Linked DNA regions of Arabidopsis thaliana. The protein of the gene in region 1 interacts with the protein of each later gene in a pairwise test. Each region holds a gene or a part of one and is shown in the gene's direction. Other genes may lie near its edges. The genes, in order: AT3G61930 and AT1G11050.

The links.
Region 2: the proteins of AT3G61930 (region 1) and AT1G11050 interact in a protein complementation assay, tested with the Arabidopsis thaliana proteins (one large-scale study listed by BioGRID).

The regions. Positions count from the first base shown.
Region 1 is NC_003074.8:22,932,075-22,940,552, forward strand, and holds AT3G61930 (uncharacterized protein), read left to right. Parts: upstream 1-3,435; 5' UTR 3,436-3,521; coding exon 3,522-3,851; 3' UTR 3,852-4,179; downstream 4,180-8,478. Other genes in the region: AT3G61920 (UvrABC system protein C), read right to left, coding at 564-1,127; MTPA1 (Cation efflux family protein), read left to right, coding at 5,371-6,375; AT3G61950 (basic helix-loop-helix (bHLH) DNA-binding superfamily protein), read left to right, coding at 7,587-7,619, 8,037-8,478.
Region 2 is NC_003070.9:3,677,515-3,687,607, forward strand, and holds AT1G11050 (Protein kinase superfamily protein), read left to right. Parts: upstream 1-4,373; 5' UTR 4,374-4,377; coding exon 4,378-6,255; 3' UTR 6,256-6,655; downstream 6,656-10,093. Other genes in the region: AT1G11020 (RING/FYVE/PHD zinc finger superfamily protein), read left to right, coding at 219-342, 457-836; AT1G11040 (HSP40/DnaJ peptide-binding protein), read right to left, coding at 1,711-2,161, 2,236-2,963, 3,273-3,410; AT1G11060 (WAPL (Wings apart-like protein regulation of heterochromatin) protein), read left to right, coding at 7,054-7,679, 8,174-8,273, 8,407-8,746, 8,943-9,055, 9,511-9,639, 9,780-9,873, 9,975-10,079.

The DNA.
Region 1 (8,478 bases):
TAATATATAATCTGATTAAAACGAACGTTGTTGCGGCACGGAGCTATGATAAATTGATGATAATTAGTGACAAAAAACTAAAATGATATAATTGAAGTATTACAAATCGTAATTTTTCTAGAAGATGAAGGAAGTTTGCATGGGAAGCAATCTTAATTTGAGGTGTTTCAAAATTTATTAAACCCTTAATGGTGAGACGTCATATAACTATATATATTAGCACTCGTGCTTGTCGGACTTATAACTTTAGCCTAATCTTAAACTGTTTCTGGCCAGCTTTGTGTCATTGGGCCTGAAATAAAAGAGTTTCTCCCTTTTGTTTTGCTCTTCTAGACTTTTGGCATTGAATAGGGAAGATTAAATAATCTCTAACTACGAGTCTACGACTTCATAAATTAATTGTTTCATGAGAGATAACAATGATATTTCAAATATATCTACGTTGATAAACTTATATAATCGTTCCAAGTCTTCAATGAATACGGAAATCAACATACTAATTTAAATGCTTAAATCGTGAAACAGATTAAAACATAAACGTAGTTTATTCATAATTCGAAATTTTACCACAATTTCCCTTTAAAGCTACTCGTAACGCTTAGCTGGTCTGAATTCGCTCTCGAATGAACTCCTCCGCCGCAGCCGTAACCGCCACACTTCGCCACCGTCCTCACACTTTCCACCAACGCTTCCGTTTCCACATCCTCCGCAAGAATTTCCGCCAACTGCTCCGGACTTATCACAAGCCTCACCTTCCACACTCCACAACCACCGCCACTCAAAGCCGCCATTATCGGCGTCTTCCCGAAAGACATTCTGTACGGCGTTGATAGTTGGTCGGAGGAATCCAGTTGAGCGGTCGCGGCTGCGGAAGAAGAAAGAGGAAGGAGGTAGTAGATGTTACCGGGAAAGAGTTCTTCGCCGTGGAGAAGCGGTGGAGATGAGTGGCGGAGGCTTAAAGAGTCGTGGATGACATGGCCGGGAAATTCGTTGGTGATGAATTCGGCGAAGATGGGAGGATGAAGCTCCATCACGCCACCGTTTGGAGTCACCACTTTTATCAACGAATCATCTTTATCGTATAATTTTCTTGAACCACCATTGCCTTTGAATACGCAGTTACCCATTTTTGCTACATAAGTTAGAAATAATAACTGATTATTTTGTGTATATGTAATGTATGGAATCCAAAGAAAACCCCAAGACGGAGAAGGGTTTAAGACAAACGTTTTCTTTGAGCAGATGAAGTATATATCTTTACGACGTAAAGAAAAAATGAAAATTGCGAATGGTCCACCACTTTTCTTGTAAACAAAAGGACCGAAGATATTGTGCTTGCGATATTATCATCATTACTATTATTTTAGTCTTTGAAAGATAAATGATTATTATTTTTGGTTATTTGAGAATTGAGAGTAATTGGCAATGGTCTGTTTGTAGAACAATTGACAACAAGTAGAAAACATTTGAAGGTAAAATAAAAAATGAACTAATTTCTGTAGAATAATTGGCAGATTAATAAATAAAATAAAACCTTATCTAAACAAATTACAAAAAGTAAGATAAATGGTTTTCCTTAACCTATTTTCCATTTAGAAAGGTAAGTGATAGGGGTAATAATGTTCACGTGAGGTCAAAAGGTGAAAAGGCCGACAGAGACAAAAAGACTTTAATCTTTGTAAAATTATTATGGATGATTAATGAATTTAACCATTTTACCAAATTGTTAGAAAACCTCCACGAAAACTAATTCTATAAATTTATAAATGGAACGTGTGAAACTATGGACCAAACAGAGTACATCTTATCAGATCAACAGAGTATATAATTGCATGTTGTTTTTACTCGAATTGATTAATATAATGTCACATAACTTGTGTGGATCCATGTCCTACAACAATATAACATTTTGTCTTTTTATATTATACGGAGTTCAAAAAAGAAAGATTCTGGAATACGAAGGAAAAAAAACAGTAGTACCTTTCGGTGCACTCAATTACGTACACCAACAATTTCTTGGCGGGTCATTATTAATTTCAAGGGTCCTAATGGGCAATGGCCCATATTACATACTCTTCTTTTTTTCTTCCTATTATTTAAATTATATTAGAGAGCTTTGAGCCCACCATAGTGCAAAATATATTGTTTTTAAAAAGACCACTAGCTAATTGTCACAGTCTCTCACATACCACATGCTGAAATTGCAAATACTAACAAAGAATCAAGATTTGTAGAAATACAAATGATATTTTATTCATTTATTGTTTTTGTCAGTTTGATTTATTATTTTTGTAAAAAAAAACAAAAAACAAGTGAGATAGTGTATCGGTGTTTAGTTAGGGACTTAAATGTGATTTTGGTTCATATGTACTTTTTGCTAGCCTAAATTAAACTGAGTTTAGTATAAATTGTTCTGTACAATCTTGGTCTTGGTTTCTGTCTGATACTTTTTTAATTATTTATTTTAAGTTTCTTAATTATAAAGAAAAGAAGTTCATTTGAGCCTAACATCAACAAACTATATGGCCCAAACCATTGCCAACACTAATAATGGGCTAAACTTCACTGAATGGAACTACATAATGGGCCTCACGAAAAACTACATTATGAATTTCTTCTTTGTGGTCCTGATTATGACATTGCCTTCTTTTGTGAACAGAAAAAACTAATGACATTGCCTTCTTTGATGAGCTTTGCTAAACGGGGATCTTACATACAAAAATTTAATCTAATCGAAACCCAATCAGAAAAAACGGGGAGGTTCTCCGTTTCCGTTCGATCTAATATTTTATTTTGATATAAAACGAGAAATAGGTGATGATTAGTATTAAATTAGAGGTTTAAGGTGACAAAATCCCGGGGATAAAGACCGTACTTTAAGATAGTTGACGCGTGAAACACACCCTGTGTTATGTTATGGGTTTTAATTTACTTAGATTCCACGTCAGCAGATACGTGAACCAGAACAACACTTAATAATTCCGTCTAATAACCTCGCATGCCCCATGCATCGTAGTTCACATTCTTACTCAACTCCTTCCTCATTTATCATTCCAATAAACTTTACCCAAATGGTTTCAAACCGAGATCTAACCGTACTTGACTTTGAAAATCGAATGCTAACCATTTACATACCGAACCAAAACTAAATTTACTAGATTTTATCAAGAATAACATTTTTAATCAAATGGATTTCAAAATTATACTCAGTTATATATTGAATTATACATAGTTAATTATGTATAGTTACTTTCATTAGAAATAGTTATCTAAAACCGAAATAAATCAAAATTTTCAAACCGAATCGAACCAAACTAAATCATTTTTTTCTGTGGTTTCGTTTGGACATACTTTGACAGCAAAATCGAAATACCCAAACCGGAAAACCAAATTGCACACGCCTATATAAAATGCCTTCGCTTATAGAAAATGCCTAACAATCTCTCATAGTCATATATAGAAACAAGTCATACACGTATCAATTAAATGCAAGCATTTGGAAAAACAAGAAAGATCAAGAAATGGGGAATTTTCTTAGGAGAAGCTGCGCTGTGCACCCGGCTTCCGGCGACGGAGGAAGAGGAAGACACGTGGACGAGCCGCCGCAACAACGTCCAAGTAGTGTGCGGATTAAAGTGAGGATGAGAAGAGATCAACTCGAAGAGCTTTTGTACTTGGCGCGTCGTGGTGATCAATCGGACGACGGTGGTAAGATTGGTTTCTTGATTCTTAAAGAATGTATGGAAGGTCGCTTACCAGCGAGTGTTCTTGGCTCCGGTGGCGATGTTCGATCTCAACGGCGTGGAAGTTACATGGTGTATCGGAGATTGGGTTCCATCACCGAGGAATAATTCATTAATATATATATATGTGTCTTTCAATACATATAGTTTTAAAGTTTAGATAGACGACACTTTAATAACGTTTTCTAGATCAACAATTATATGTAAGGCTAAAGAAACAAAAAAAAGGAGTTTCGTTATCAAAAAATTGAAAAGAAAAATATATAAAAGTAGTATGTTTGTGTCACGCATTTAATTAAAGATATAAGTGTAAATCTCAATACTTTTTATTCGTCAACAAATATAAGAGTTTTGATGGCGTTTTAGCATCGCATAATTGTGGACATCTCAAAAGGTAAACTTAAAGACAAACTTCAAGTCTAATTGACAACTTCAAATTATTCTAAGAGCCATAAAACTATCTGGTTCATCCAAGTCGTTTATCGACCCATAGAATCTCCGGAACGTAGATAAGTTTTTGCGCTTGGTTGCTCTCTTTGGGCCTCTTAAGATCTCCTTGGCACCATCGGAAGGCTTCAAAATGATCAAATTCTTTATTCTTGTACCAAATGATGTAAAACAGAATTAGGATAATTAATAATCTTTATATTTTATTTCTCTATTTTTAAAATAACTACTATGGTTATCCTAATTGAATTATGATAATATTTGACTATTGTGTGTTTGTACATAAATTTTTTACAGACCTGGATTCTCCATTCAGAGTTCGAATCGAGACGTTTCCATTTATTTATATTTTCTCGTTTGGAATTTTCCAAATTCATCATTACAGAAAACAAACGTTAACATTCCATCAATATGTAATGTTGTACTTTTTTTTGTTTTTGTATTTTTCAAAATTTCAATTAATTGAGTCCCGTTGAAAGTCAGAGACGTCTAAGATAGGCCGAATAATTTTCTTCGTAACCATAGCAGCCGAAGTAATTCTGTATATTATTTTATTTAGTCAGCCTAGCATTTATCATTAGCCCATTATATAACTTTCAAAATGGGCCTGTTATTCTGTACAGCCTAAAGATTCAATTGTTTCGTTGAAAAACAAACAATTTCGTGGACTATCGTCAATAAGATTATGCAAAAAAAAACAAAAAAATTATGAACTTTAATGGAAATTCAGACGATATGAAGAGAGAGTTTGGCTTTTGTTTCAAGATTCTTTCCACTCTCTGTGTGATATCAGAATTGGCCCAAATCGGAATCTGATGTCGCTTAGATTTCGTCATTGTTACATTGGGTCTTTACTTAAATATATTTTCTAATGCTTCTACACATGTTATACAATATGATTTGAGGTTTGACTCTCTGTTATGGTATGAGTATGTTGTCATATCATTTAATGTGAATTTTTGGTTTGCTCGCATCCTTGTGTAGTTGTGGGATGCATGTCTCTGTTTTTTCCACCTTTAAAAATCTCCTTCAAGTCTCAAACTCTAACACCTTACTCCTGAATTGAGTTTCTACTATCTTGTTGTAAGGTATCAAATCTATATACTGTATTCATAGGATTGCGTATAGAACCCATTGAATATTGATTCATGCTCTAAAGTTACAATCTTTTTTGCTGCAGATGGATTCAAGAAGAAGTAAAGTTTGTGGAGAAACAGCTTGTGGGTTTTCAACATCTTCAAGTGATGCTAAGAAACGAGCTGCTTCAATGCGAAAGCTCTGTTTCGTTGTGGTGTTATGTCTTTTGTTCATGAGCATAGAAGTTGTTTGTGGCATTAAGGCTAACAGTTTGGCTATATTAGCAGATGCAGCTCATTTGCTCACTGATGTTGGTGCTTTTGCTATCTCTATGCTCTCCTTGTGGGCTTCTTCTTGGGAAGCAAATCCGCGACAGAGTTATGGGTTCTTCAGGATAGAGATTTTAGGCACTCTTGTCTCAATCCAGCTCATTTGGTTACTCACTGGGATTTTGGTCTACGAAGCCGTAACTAGACTCGTTCAAGAGACCAATGATGATGTTGATGGTTTCTTTATGGTTCTTGTTGCTGCTTTTGGTTTAGTTGTAAACATCATAATGATTGTTGTGCTTGGACATGATCACGGACATGGGCATGATCATGGTCACAGTCATGATCATGGTCATAGTTATGGGGAAAGAGCTGAGCAGTTGTTGGAGAAATCCAAGGAAATAAGGAACATTAATGTGCAAGGGGCTTATCTTCATGTTCTTGGGGATTTAATTCAGAGCATTGGGGTAATGATTGGAGGGGGTATGATTTGGTATAACCCTAAATGGAAAGTAATTGACTTGATATGCACGTTATTCTTTTCAGTTATTGTTTTAGGGACAACCATTAAGATGCTTCGAAGCATACTTGAAGTTCTAATGGAGAGCACACCGAGAGAGATAGACGCGAGGCAGCTCGAAAAGGGATTGATGGAAATTGAGGAAGTTGTGGATGTTCATGAGCTGCACATATGGGCAATTACAGTTGGAAAAGCTCTGTTTTCTTGTCATGTCAAGGTTAGACCAGAAGCTGGTGATGAAATGGTGCTGAACAAAGTGATCGATTACATCTGGAGAGAGTATCGTATCAGTCACGTTACGATACAAATCGAGCGTTAAAACAACAAAAGGGTTCATTTCTCTGGTTTTCTGTCATTTTCATGATCAAAGTTAAATCTTTTTTCGCTTTCTCGTATGCTCTCATTACCTTGTTGTGACATATGCCATTGTCTTTCTTGTTTATGAATAAGTTGTCTTGTCTTGAAAAAGGTAATTAAAAGGACATAACTTTATTTGAGATTAGGGATTTGTGTTAAGTTACTACTAAAGAAAAATCAGAATCTTTAGGGTTTATCTTTGATAATAGACCTACCAAAAAGAGTGGGGCATGTTTGTCCTAAGAGCAAGTAACCATAGCTCGTGTGTGACAGTTAACAACCATATCCAGTACACAATTGATAAACAAAGATTCAACTTTCTTTGGAGTTTTGATGTGTTGATAAGGTTTCTAAGGTCTTCGTTAACCAATAACCATGCAAAGCACGAATGTTTTGTTTCTTTGCTCAAATTTTGTGAGACCGGATATGAAGTTACCCGTTTGGATTGAGCTTGTGGACATGTTGGGACATTTTTATAGGACAAACACTGTTTAATGCCGTAGCAGCCAAGGCATTTAGAGTCAACCTTTTTCTTTTAATTGTAATCAAGATATGTTTGATTGCAAAGTAATAAACAAAATCCCACACTTTAGAAACCTTACATCTATTAAAGGTTCGAATCATTAGAACATGATGGATGCATGCAAATGCAACATGGTATCTGTATAAAGTTTTAGCTTTTTGAGCCTTGAAGAAAAGGAATGGTGTGGTATGGGAATAGTGAAGAAAGGATGATTGAGACATCATGAGAAAGATGACACAAACCCAAAGGAAGAAGCTCTCTTACCCATGACATGTCTCTTTTTTACCTTCTTCTTCTGTGTAATTTAGAACTGTCCCCACAAAGTCTGTCTCCACTTCAAGACAAAACTGCTTCCACCAATAATATCTCTCTCTCATCTGCTCTGCTCAGCCTCACCAACTCTTACAGTACCCAAATACATCTATCTTATTACCTCTCTGTTTTTTACAGCTCCTCTGTTTCCACTCTACTCAATAGCTTTACTAAAGACTCACTGTTCTATATAAAGCTAACAGTTACAAGTCCATAAAAGCTCAGAATCAGAAGAGAGTACATGAGTTTCCTCTTCTGCCTCTTTGGTGATTCTTAGCATTTATTATTACTCACTCATCTTCTTTTCATTACATTACATACCAAACAAGAGCTCTCAAATGGAAAGGTTTCAAGGACACATCAACCCCTGTGTATGTATCTTTTGCTTGATTTAGAAAACTTTTAACTCTCTTTCTTCAATCTTTCTCTCTTCCCTTGAATCATTTTTTTCCATACTCAGAGACATGGACTTGCATTTACTCATTCCTAATTAGTCCAGATACTGTGCATTTAATGCTTTTGTTGTTTGTTTTAGAGAAAACAGTAACAATTCCTAATTAGTCCAGATACTGTGCATTTAATGCTTTTGTTGTTTGTTTTAGAGAAAACAGTAACAATTCTACAATCATTTTTGCTTCCCTTTCTTTGAAAACATTCCATTTTCCTTTCTATTTTTTTGCTTATCTCTGTACTAAGAACCAAACTAACCCACAGTAGAACTAAATTACACTTCTCTTTCAATCATTTGCGTCTCACCGGCTAATCTCATTCCTCTGTCATTTTTACAGTTCTTCGATCGAAAACCGGATGTGAGAAGCCTCGAGGTTCAAGGATTTGCAGAGGCTCAAAGCTTTGCTTTCAAAGAAAAAGAGGAAGAAAGCTTACAAGATACAGTTCCATTTCTACAGATGCTGCAAAGTGAAGACCCCTCATCGTTTTTTTCAATCAAAGAGCCAAACTTTCTGACGCTACTGTCTCTTCAAACCCTCAAGGAGCCTTGGGAACTCGAAAGATATCTTTCACTTGAGGATTCACAATTTCATTCACCGGTCCAATCTGAGACCAACCGCTTCATGGAAGGAGCCAATCAAGCTGTGTCAAGCCAAGAAATTCCCTTTAGCCAAGCAAACATGACACTCCCTTCTTCTACCTCATCACCACTCAGTGCACATTCAAGACGAAAGCGCAAAATCAACCACTTGCTGCCTCAAGAAATGACTAGAGAAAAGA
Region 2 (10,093 bases), on another chromosome or scaffold:
ATATGATGTCATAATCTGGCTCACAAAGTGAACTAGATTCGAATCTTGACCTGGTTACTGCGTACACATGGTGGGTGCTTGAAATTGACAATGGAAGTTGATGACTATCAAATTGTTCATTTTGCTCACTGTGACTTGCCATTTTTGAAGCTTGTTTTTCATAGAGATTGTCTGAATCTTTTTGACGTCTGATAATAAGAAGATTGTTGAAACTCTAGGTTATCGCTGTGATGGCCGGATTCGCATATATGATGGACAAAGACGGAGAGTTTCGCAACTCTTTCAACGATGATTGGGATCGTATTTTGTCGAAACATCCCATCCCGTTTTATTACTGCATTGGTATTTACTGAATCTTTCATCTCCCTTTTATTGCGTAACTAGTATACCTTTCAAATACCACGGATCTAGAAGCCTTACACGCGTTTGAACATTTGGTGTGTCATGAATTCTTAGGGGTTATATCCTTCTTTGTGCTGACTGGATTTCTTGGAATCATTCTACATTGCTCTGCTCTCAACGGTAATGACCCGAGGATGGCTGGATGCCAGAACTGCTGTTATGGATGGGGTGTCTTGGATTGTTTCCCTGCTTCAATGGAAGCTTGTTTCGCTCTTGTTGTTGTTTTTGTCGTCATCTTTGCCATTCTTGGTTTAGCGTATGGGTTTCTTGCTGCAACTATGGCTATCCAAAGGATATGGCAGAGACATTACCATATTCTCACCAAGCGAGAGCTCACAAAGGAGTACATTGTGGAGGATCTTCACGGAAGTTACACTCCCCCGAAGCTGGATGCAGAGCACGAAGGAAGACTGAAAATGCTGAAACTTCTGTGACCGTGTTTTTTAACTGTCAAATAAAGGTTGTAAGGAGTTTCGGGCACATGAGAGAGACGAGTTCATACGTATATGTTCACAGAGTGTCTTTCTTTTCTTTATCATGCGATGAAAAGTACCTAATGGATATTTTGTCTTATATATATTTATTATAATTATGGTATGAGGTGATGCAATGCTACTGGTTTTTCAGTGACTATTAAAGATATTGAGACCCAAATCTACAAACAGAGTCTATATACCGACTGATGTTTCAGTTATCACACAAAAAGCTCTCACCAGAGAAAAGGGATATTAGTGTAAAAGTGTTCCTTTTTGAGTTACAGTTTCTGAAAGCAGTGAGATGATAACGGAGAGCATAGGTACGTCGTTGCAGCTTAAATTTCCTACAAACCCCCGAAAACCTAAAAATATAACAAAAATACGACCACAGTGGGAGTCGAACCCACGACCTTCTGATCCGAAGTCAGACGCGCTAATCCACTGCGCTATGCGGTCATTTAGTATGCTAGTGCAGATTATAGTATATAATATCATCGTTTTCTTTTGGATTCACTCCAAAGAACTCGTAAAAGTCGTAAGCATTACTAAAGCTAAGTTGATTGTCAATTTTTTCAGATAGTTATCTTTGTCGATATACTGATCAATGTTAACTACAAGAAGACAATTGTATCATTCACAGCAAGAAAGAATCATAGAAAAAACAGCTCAATCTAAGAAAACAAAATGTATATATAAAGGAAAATATATAAAAATAAGCCTAATGTCAACGAATCACAACTTTAACGCATCAAGCCCACTCGACTAGTAGGAAACATATATACAATGAAGGAAGTGAAAGGCATGAAGAAACACATATGCATATTATAAACCTTTATGCCCAAGAACAATCTTTCAACACCTCATAGGCCATTGATCGTTGTTCTTCACTCAACTTCTCCGGGAAATTCACTAAAAACGTTATTCTCAAATCCCCTCGCTTACCTTCTTCTTTAGCATTTGGCATACCTTGACCTTTTATCGCCTTCTCAAATCCGTGGAAGATCACATCTCCCACGGTTATCGACATTGACTCTCCGCTCAATAGTGGCACCGAGAGTTTGCATCCTGTTAAAGCCTTTAAAAGAGGAATCTCTACCGCAATCTCTAAGTCGTCTCCACGTCTTTTGAACAAAGGGTGTCTCTTTTCTTCAACCACAAATGTAATATCTTCAGGTAGATAGCCCGGTTTTTCGTTCCCTACTCCTTCGAATGTGATCTTCGTCCCTTTCTTCCATCCCGGTTGGATATTCACTCTTAACATTTCTTCTTGTTGCATAATCAATCTGTTACAAAAAAACAGAACATAATGAATGACTCATTGAGTAAAATAAGAGAACGTGAGAGCCAAGAAACAAACCCTTCATCGGTAATAATGTCTCTTTTGATCTTGATGTTCTTGACTCCACCATGGCAGAGTTCTTCTAACGTACACTCAAGCTTTTTCTCCACAGCTGGTGGTTTTTTCGGCGGTGTAGACTGCGAAAACACTATCGGCGTTGTGCTTCTCCGGCTTATACTCTTTGCAATTGATCCAGCCGTATCCCTCGTGCTCTTACTCTTTGAATATGGCAGAGAGGTCGATGTCGCCGAGCTCGTAGAGCCTCTTTCATCCTTATCTCTCTTGCTAGCACTCTTCGAAATCGACGAAGGAGAAGATTGTTTGACGCCGTTTATCGGACTATTGCTTGTAGGAGACGAAAGTTTCTTTACAGATCCGAATAAATCACCTAAGGTTTGATCTTTTCCTCTAGGACTCGTGAAAGGTGACGTCATCGGACTGGTGTTGTTTGAGATGGGACGTGATTTCAAACCGTGGCTTCTCACTCCGCTGTGGCTGCTGCCTTCGTCTCTACGGCTTGTGCTTCTTGAGAAAGCAGAACGGCGGTTGGAAGAAGCGGAGGAAGAGAGGTACGTTGGTCTAGCTTGCGGCGTGTGGCTACGGCGGCTACTTGAGTTTGATAACAGAGAAGAACGACGTTTGAAGACGCTACTATCGTCCATGCTCTGTAGCCGGAGACCTCTCCGAGCAGCAATGAGATCATCCTCCTCCGCAAATTTCTCCTCCAAATATCTCCGGTGGATTGCCTATCAATTTTTACAAACAAAAATATTATTTTACTCTGTTCTCACGATCTCTGGATTGAAAAATGATTTTTTTATTTTACGAAACAGAGGTTTTCACAAACAATCCTCGAAGAGATAAAAAGAAGAAAGAAACGGAAATCCATAATGATATAAATCGAATATTTCGCCGTTTGATCATTGTTGGGAACAATTTATCTATTTCTACGTTATTCCATAGCAAAAATCATTGCTCAAATGTGAAAACGTAAATGAAATGATGATCAGAAAATAGCGTTCGTCACAATAAGAGAAGATGTTAATTAAACGTACGGAATCGGCATCGGAATGGGATTCGGATTTGCGATGAGAAGAAAGAGGGTGCAATTTGGTGACGAGGGACTTGTAGGCTTTGCATGCTGTCTTGGAAATTCCAAAGAAATCTGTAGCCGGCGAACGAGGAGTCCCCATTGCATACAGAACAAGAAGAAGATGATCAAGAAATTAGCGGAAAGAGAAAACAGAGAGAAAGATGAGGAAACTTGTCGTTGTCGTGTGTAGGGATGAATTAGATTATCAGACAGACGAAGAGCCGAGTTGTTTGGGAGAGCTTTTATTAGGAAATTTCTGTTTTTTTGTTTTCCGAAATAAAAATATTTTCTTAAGAAAATTTATAGGCTTTTCTTATTTAATTCCCCTTTGATAACTTTTTACTAGGAATTGGATGAGCATGCATCGACCCGGTTTGAGAGAGAATAATCAGAACCAAAGTATTGTACTTATCATGAGATTATGGATACACTCAAAAGATACATTTACCAGCGGTACATTTGTAGACTTGTATAGTTTATCGAAAGTGCATGAGCATACTGACATGAGAATAACGAATGATCCGTTTCGGTTGTAGCACAATCTTTGGTAGTTTTGTATGTTGCATAAGTTATTTTTATCCGCAATAGTGGATCCCCATTCCCATCAGCAAGCAATAATAACAACTCTACACGTAAAGAGTCTAATTTGATAATTTAGTCGACTGTTTAAAATGATATCTCTAGTTGACCTTTATTCAGTTTTCTCTTTTGTCTTACCGTCTGAATTTTTGTCCCATTAATTTTGTCAAAATTTTATAATCCTAGTACTATCTATTAATTTTGCTTTTTCAATTTTCCCACATTTAACATTAAAAACGAAAGTGAAACGTAGCCACTATGGAATATGTTTCATTCATCGTTAGTGTTGGCAGTTGCAGGTGGGGACAAGCTGCATTTCCATGTTGCTTCCAAAGTCAAACAGATCAAAGCAGCCTCTTTGACCAAAAGAATCCAACTTTTTTCCTCAACTTTCATGGCCGCCAAAATCAATCACTCACTTTCCACCACCAAAAAACCTCAGATTCTCCAAACCCATATCTTCGATTTCACCATAATCCAACATAAACATGCCTAACTCGATTCTCTTTCTTCTTCTTTCATTCCTGTATCTCACAAACTGCGTTGCTCAATCTCCATCACAAACTTGTCCTTTAGATTTCTCTCATGTCCTAACAATCCCATGGAACACAACAGATTGTCAAAAGTCCGACAAATCAGCCGATAGCAAGAACAGTTGTTGCCAATCTCTTTTAACTCTAATCGGAATCCCTCTAGCTCATCGTCTCAAACAAACTTCCAATTTCCGTCTCCCAAATCTCGCTACTTCAATCTCTTGTCTCAACAATCTCCAAACGAAGCTTAGTTCACTCTCTCTATCTTCGAATCTCACCTCTCTCTGTTTCGATCCGAATCAGTTCGTCATCAATAACGAAACCTGTGCTGGAATCCAAACGACTCAAGATTGGGTATCTCGTCTCGGTCCATCTACGGCGCTTGACTCCGCCTGTAGCAGTGGTCTCACTGATCTAACGCGATGCGACGCTTGCGTGGCGGCTGGGTTTAGGGTTCAAAAACAGCTCATCACTTTGGACGGTAATAGCTCTCACGGTGTTTATTGTTACCATTTTGTGGTTACTTACGCTGCTGGTATTGTTAACAAGAAAGGACCTGAGAGTGATGATGCTTTGTCTTGTCTCTTCTCTTTGAGTTTGAGATCTCCATTGAACTCAAAGAAGAAAAGACACACGGTGGCTCTTGCTTTAGGGATAACCGGAGCTATTTTCGGGGCTCTGGTTATTGCCGGTTTGATTTGTTTGTATTTCCGGTTTGGTAAAGCTGTTAAAGGAGGAGAGGTTGGTTGGGAGGATCAAGGGTCTAGACCGAAATGGAGACCAAACACTGGCTCTATCTGGTTCAAAATCGAGGAACTAGAGAAAGCTACGAATAACTTCTCGCAGAAGAATTTCATCGGTCGAGGCGGGTTTGGTTTTGTTTACAAAGGGGTTTTACCAGATGGATCGGTTATCGCGGTTAAGAAGGTGATAGAGTCTGAGTTTCAAGGGGATGCAGAGTTTCGTAATGAGGTTGAGATCATTAGCAATTTGAAACATAGGAATCTTGTTCCGCTTAGAGGTTGTAGTATGGTGGATGATGATAGTGAGAGTCAGAGATATCTTGTTTATGATTACATGTCTAATGGAAATCTCGATGATCACTTGTTTCCTCGAGGTGAGACTACGAAGATGCCATTGAGCTGGCCTCAGAGAAAGAGCATCATTTTGGATGTGGCTAAAGGGTTGGCTTATTTGCATTACGGTGTGAAACCCGCTATTTATCACCGGGATATTAAAGGTACGAACATATTGTTAGATGTCGATATGAGAGCGAGAGTTGCGGATTTCGGTTTAGCTAAACAGAGTAGAGAAGGAGAGTCTCATCTCACTACCAGAGTTGCGGGAACACACGGTTACTTGGCTCCAGAGTATGCCCTCTATGGTCAATTAACCGAGAAAAGCGATGTGTATAGCTTCGGGGTTGTTATATTGGAGATCATGTGTGGAAGGAAAGCTCTTGATCTGTCTACTTCTGGATCACCAAACACTTTTCTGATCACAGATTGGGCTTGGTCATTGGTAAAAGCAGGGAAAACAGAGGAAGCTCTTGAGCAGTCTTTGTTGAGAGAGGAAGGCTCAGGGCTCTCGAATCCGAAAGGGATAATGGAGAGATTCTTGCAAGTTGGGATATTGTGTGCCCATGTATTGGTTGCTTTAAGGCCAACAATATTAGATGCATTGAAAATGCTTGAAGGAGACATCGAGGTTCCTCCTATTCCGGACCGACCAGTCCCGCTCGCGCATCCTTCGTACCGTATGGACGGAAACGGATTCACAATATCGCCTGCGCTTAGCGGACTACAAATACATTCCGGAGATATGCTCAGATGAAAAAACTAGGCTCATGTGAGATTTTATTTTGTAAATATTTGAAAGCAACGATCACGTCTTTTGATTACATCATGTAAAACAATTTCAGAATGTTGTAGTATATCATAAGTAGGGAAAACATATAGTTCATTGTAGGATTATATTCTAAATCAAAGTAGAGGCGAAGGCTGAGATGCGGGGGTGAGGGCGGTAGCTGGTGGAAGCCTTCCGGTACAAGTGCAAAAGTTATTAAGGCACTCACATTTGGTGCAGTGGTTCACAGTCCTGCACCATCTTGACACTAATGGTCCTCTCGCCTCAGCCACCATGTAAAATTCTGCAACCATTCAAATTTGTGTTTATTTTTGTCCGTTGCAAAATTTATATGTATATAAATAAGAAGAAATTACATATTTTTTTTTTTTGTCAACAAGAAATTACATAGTTTGATACATAATGATTTGTCAAAGCATTTTCAACAGAAAAAAATCAGATACATATTTTACTATTAATTTTATATCTGGTAAATTCTATATTTTACAGTATACAGTACATTACACAATTTCCTGAATCAGTTGAATATAAAATGCTCAAACTAGCATAAATTTAAAACTTTCCAGCATTGGTAATACTCAAAAAAAAAAATCAATAACAAATAAATGTTTAGTTGTAATTCAGACACAACTTGAAACCCCAAAAATCAGACTGTGAAAATTTGTGTGCTCTTTTTAACTTTTAATTGCTAAAGTTAGTTAGTAATTTAAAACATTCTGGTTACTCACTTAGTATTAGTTATTACTGTGGTAACAACAAAATTTAATGATAATTGTAAAACTAACGGCCAATCGCATTTGCTGCTCTCTTCTTCAGCTACGCAGATCTTACGAGCACTTTTATATATTTGTCTTTCTTCCCGAAATACCCTTGTTTCGATTTTCTCACCTAAAACTCTTCCCCAAAAATTTGCAAATTCAACGACTCGTCTCGGCGATGATGGAACGAACCTACGGCCGCCGTAAGCCGGGGATTCCGAGGACCCTATCGGACTCTCTAAACGACTCTGTTTCTCAGACTGAGTATCTCTCTTCCTCTTCGTCGCCGGACATCGAGCCCATTGATTACTCTCTCCTTCCTTTCTCCAGTCAAGAGTCTTCCTCTCTCTGGCATTCTTCTTCCAGGTCAAATTTCAGAGAGGATTATCCACAGAACGGAGGTGTTGTACGGAGGGCGAAAAGAGTCAGGAACGGTGCTGAGGCTGCTGCTTTTACTTCCACTTTGCTTGAGGCTCAGGAGTTTGGTGAGCTGATGGAGCATGAGGATGAGGTTAACTTTGCGCTTGATGGGTTGAGGAAAGGACACCAGCTCAGGATCAGAAGAGCTAGCTTGTCCTCTCTATTGTCGATTTGTGCATCTCAACACCAGCGTCGCTCCTTGAGGGCTCAAGGGTAAGAAGCTTTACTCTTTTTTCTTAGATTTTTCGATTTCCCCCTTCTCTTTGGGGTTTGATTTTGTTCAATTCATGAGAAATTTTCCAAATTGGCATGTGGGTTTTCATTGTTTTCCGGTCTTCTAGATTAGGGCACGATTAGGGCCAACAAACTCTATGGTTTCGTTTTCTCTTCTCTGTATTTTTGGTTCTTGTAAATCAGATTTGTGATGGATTTGGACTTCTGAAGAGGATTAGGGCATGACAGTTTAGAGAATCTGGTTTGTAGTGGATTGGAATGGTGTATTACTGAATAGGGTTTGTATCATGATGCATGCGAGGTAAGGTTTTAGGACTATGTCTGATTCTCTCCCAAGGACTGGAGATTTTGTGTTTGTCCCATTAATTGATTCGTTGGTTGAGTCGATAAGAAGTCCTAGATGGATGCTGAGTCGTAAGTATCATGAAATCTCAGGAAAAGTTACCTAATTTTGTGGGAGCTTATTGTTTCAGGATTTCCCAATCCATAATTGATGCGATTTTGGTTCTTAGCCTTGATGATATACCAAGCAATCTTGCCGCAGCCACCCTTTTCTTTGCGCTAACTGCTGATGTAAGTGATTTGCAGATGCTGTTATGTATGTTTTTGATGTTTAATCTTTGATTCATTGACGTTTTTTTGGTTTCTTATTCACCATTTCACATTTTCCGTATATAACTTTACCAATTCATTTTCATGACTCCAGGGTCAAGACGAGCACTTTATGGAGTCACCCAAGTGCATCAAGTTTCTGATAAAGTTGTTGAAACCTGTGATTGTCACTAGCACCGAAGGGAAGCCACGCAATATAGGATTTAAGCTCTTATCATTACTTAAGGATGTTGATGCAGCACGGGATCCAGTGAAAATGGATGATCCGAGCTCCAGTGATATCCTCTCAAGAGTTCAGGAACTTCTTGTTAATTGCAAAGAAATGAGACTGAATGATAGCTATATAACTGAAACAACGAGGCCTGAGCTAAGTACAAAATGGGTAGCTTTGTTGGCCATGGAGAGAGCATGCGTATCCAAAATTTCTTTTGATGGTATTAGAACTTTTTGCCTTTTCTCCCGGAAGTAATGACTAGCTAACTATTTCGGAGATCATCTTAGAATCAGTTAGATTAGGTTATAGATGATGAAAAGTTCCTGTTCTCTCCAGTATTTATTTTGCTTCTCTAGGTTTATTTTAGCATAGAATTAAGGTGATAATATTATGATCTTTTGTTTACCCCCATCCAGATACTTCTGGTTCTGTAAAGAAGACTGGAGGGAATTTCAAGGAGAAACTGCGAGAACTAGGAGGACTTGATGCAGTCCTTGAGGTTGTTATGGATTGTCACGCTGTTATGGAGGTGTGAAGCTGTATGTTTTTTTTTCATCTGCACTGATATCTTTCGTAATATAGAAAGGTAGTCTATGATTGCCTAGGAGGTTGATAACTCGTATAAAGCATCTTAGATTGCTACTTTTGTGATTGTTTAGGTATTGTCAGGGTCTATTCTTTTTGCAATCCAATTTACTGAAACGTGGGTTAAGTGAAGGTGCTTTCTTTGTATATTGAAAGAGAGATTACTTGTTGACTTTCTTTACAGTGGTGTATGACTTTGTTTATACTTAGAATAAGCTCTTTTGACACAAATTAGCAATGTGAAGGCACTTCTATTGATAAACTATATAGGTTATTTCCAGAATCTTCTACTGCCCCATGTATACTCTCCTTTGTGCATTAATTGTCTTAATTGCGGGCGGTTTGCAATTGCATTATGTTATATTCATTGAGAGAATCTAATACAAATTCTATATGCAGCGTTGGGTGGAATACGACGCACTTTCCGTCCAGGAAAAGAAAGATAATCTGCATAAACAGAGTTTAATGTTGCTTCTGAAGTGTCTGAAAATCATGGAGAATGCTACATTCCTCAGCACAGACAACCAGGTATCTTTTATGTATATTGGTTTCTAGATTCATGACAATATCCTGGAGATTCGGACGTTAATCAGCTGTGTTATCAAGTTGCAGTATATATAACTCAGTGTCTGATATAATATAACTGTAACGCTAATTTTGCTTTTCAGAATCATTTGCTCGGATTTAAGAAATGTTTGGGTTCTCATGATTCCCGAATGTCTTTCACAGAGCTCACAATAAGTGTCATCAAGATGCTTTCAGGTTCGCAATTGTTAGCATGTCTTGTTCTGAAGTGTTACACATTTTGACTTCCGCTCGTTCTATCATCTCTTATTCTGATTACTGGTTGGACTGATGGCTAGGTCTTCACCTACGTGGAGGTTTTTCAAGTCCTAACACGAACAATGTGAATTCTCACTATTCAAATGGTGGTAATCATGATTCTGTTTTGGAAGCAAATAGGAAAGGTAATTTATTCTTC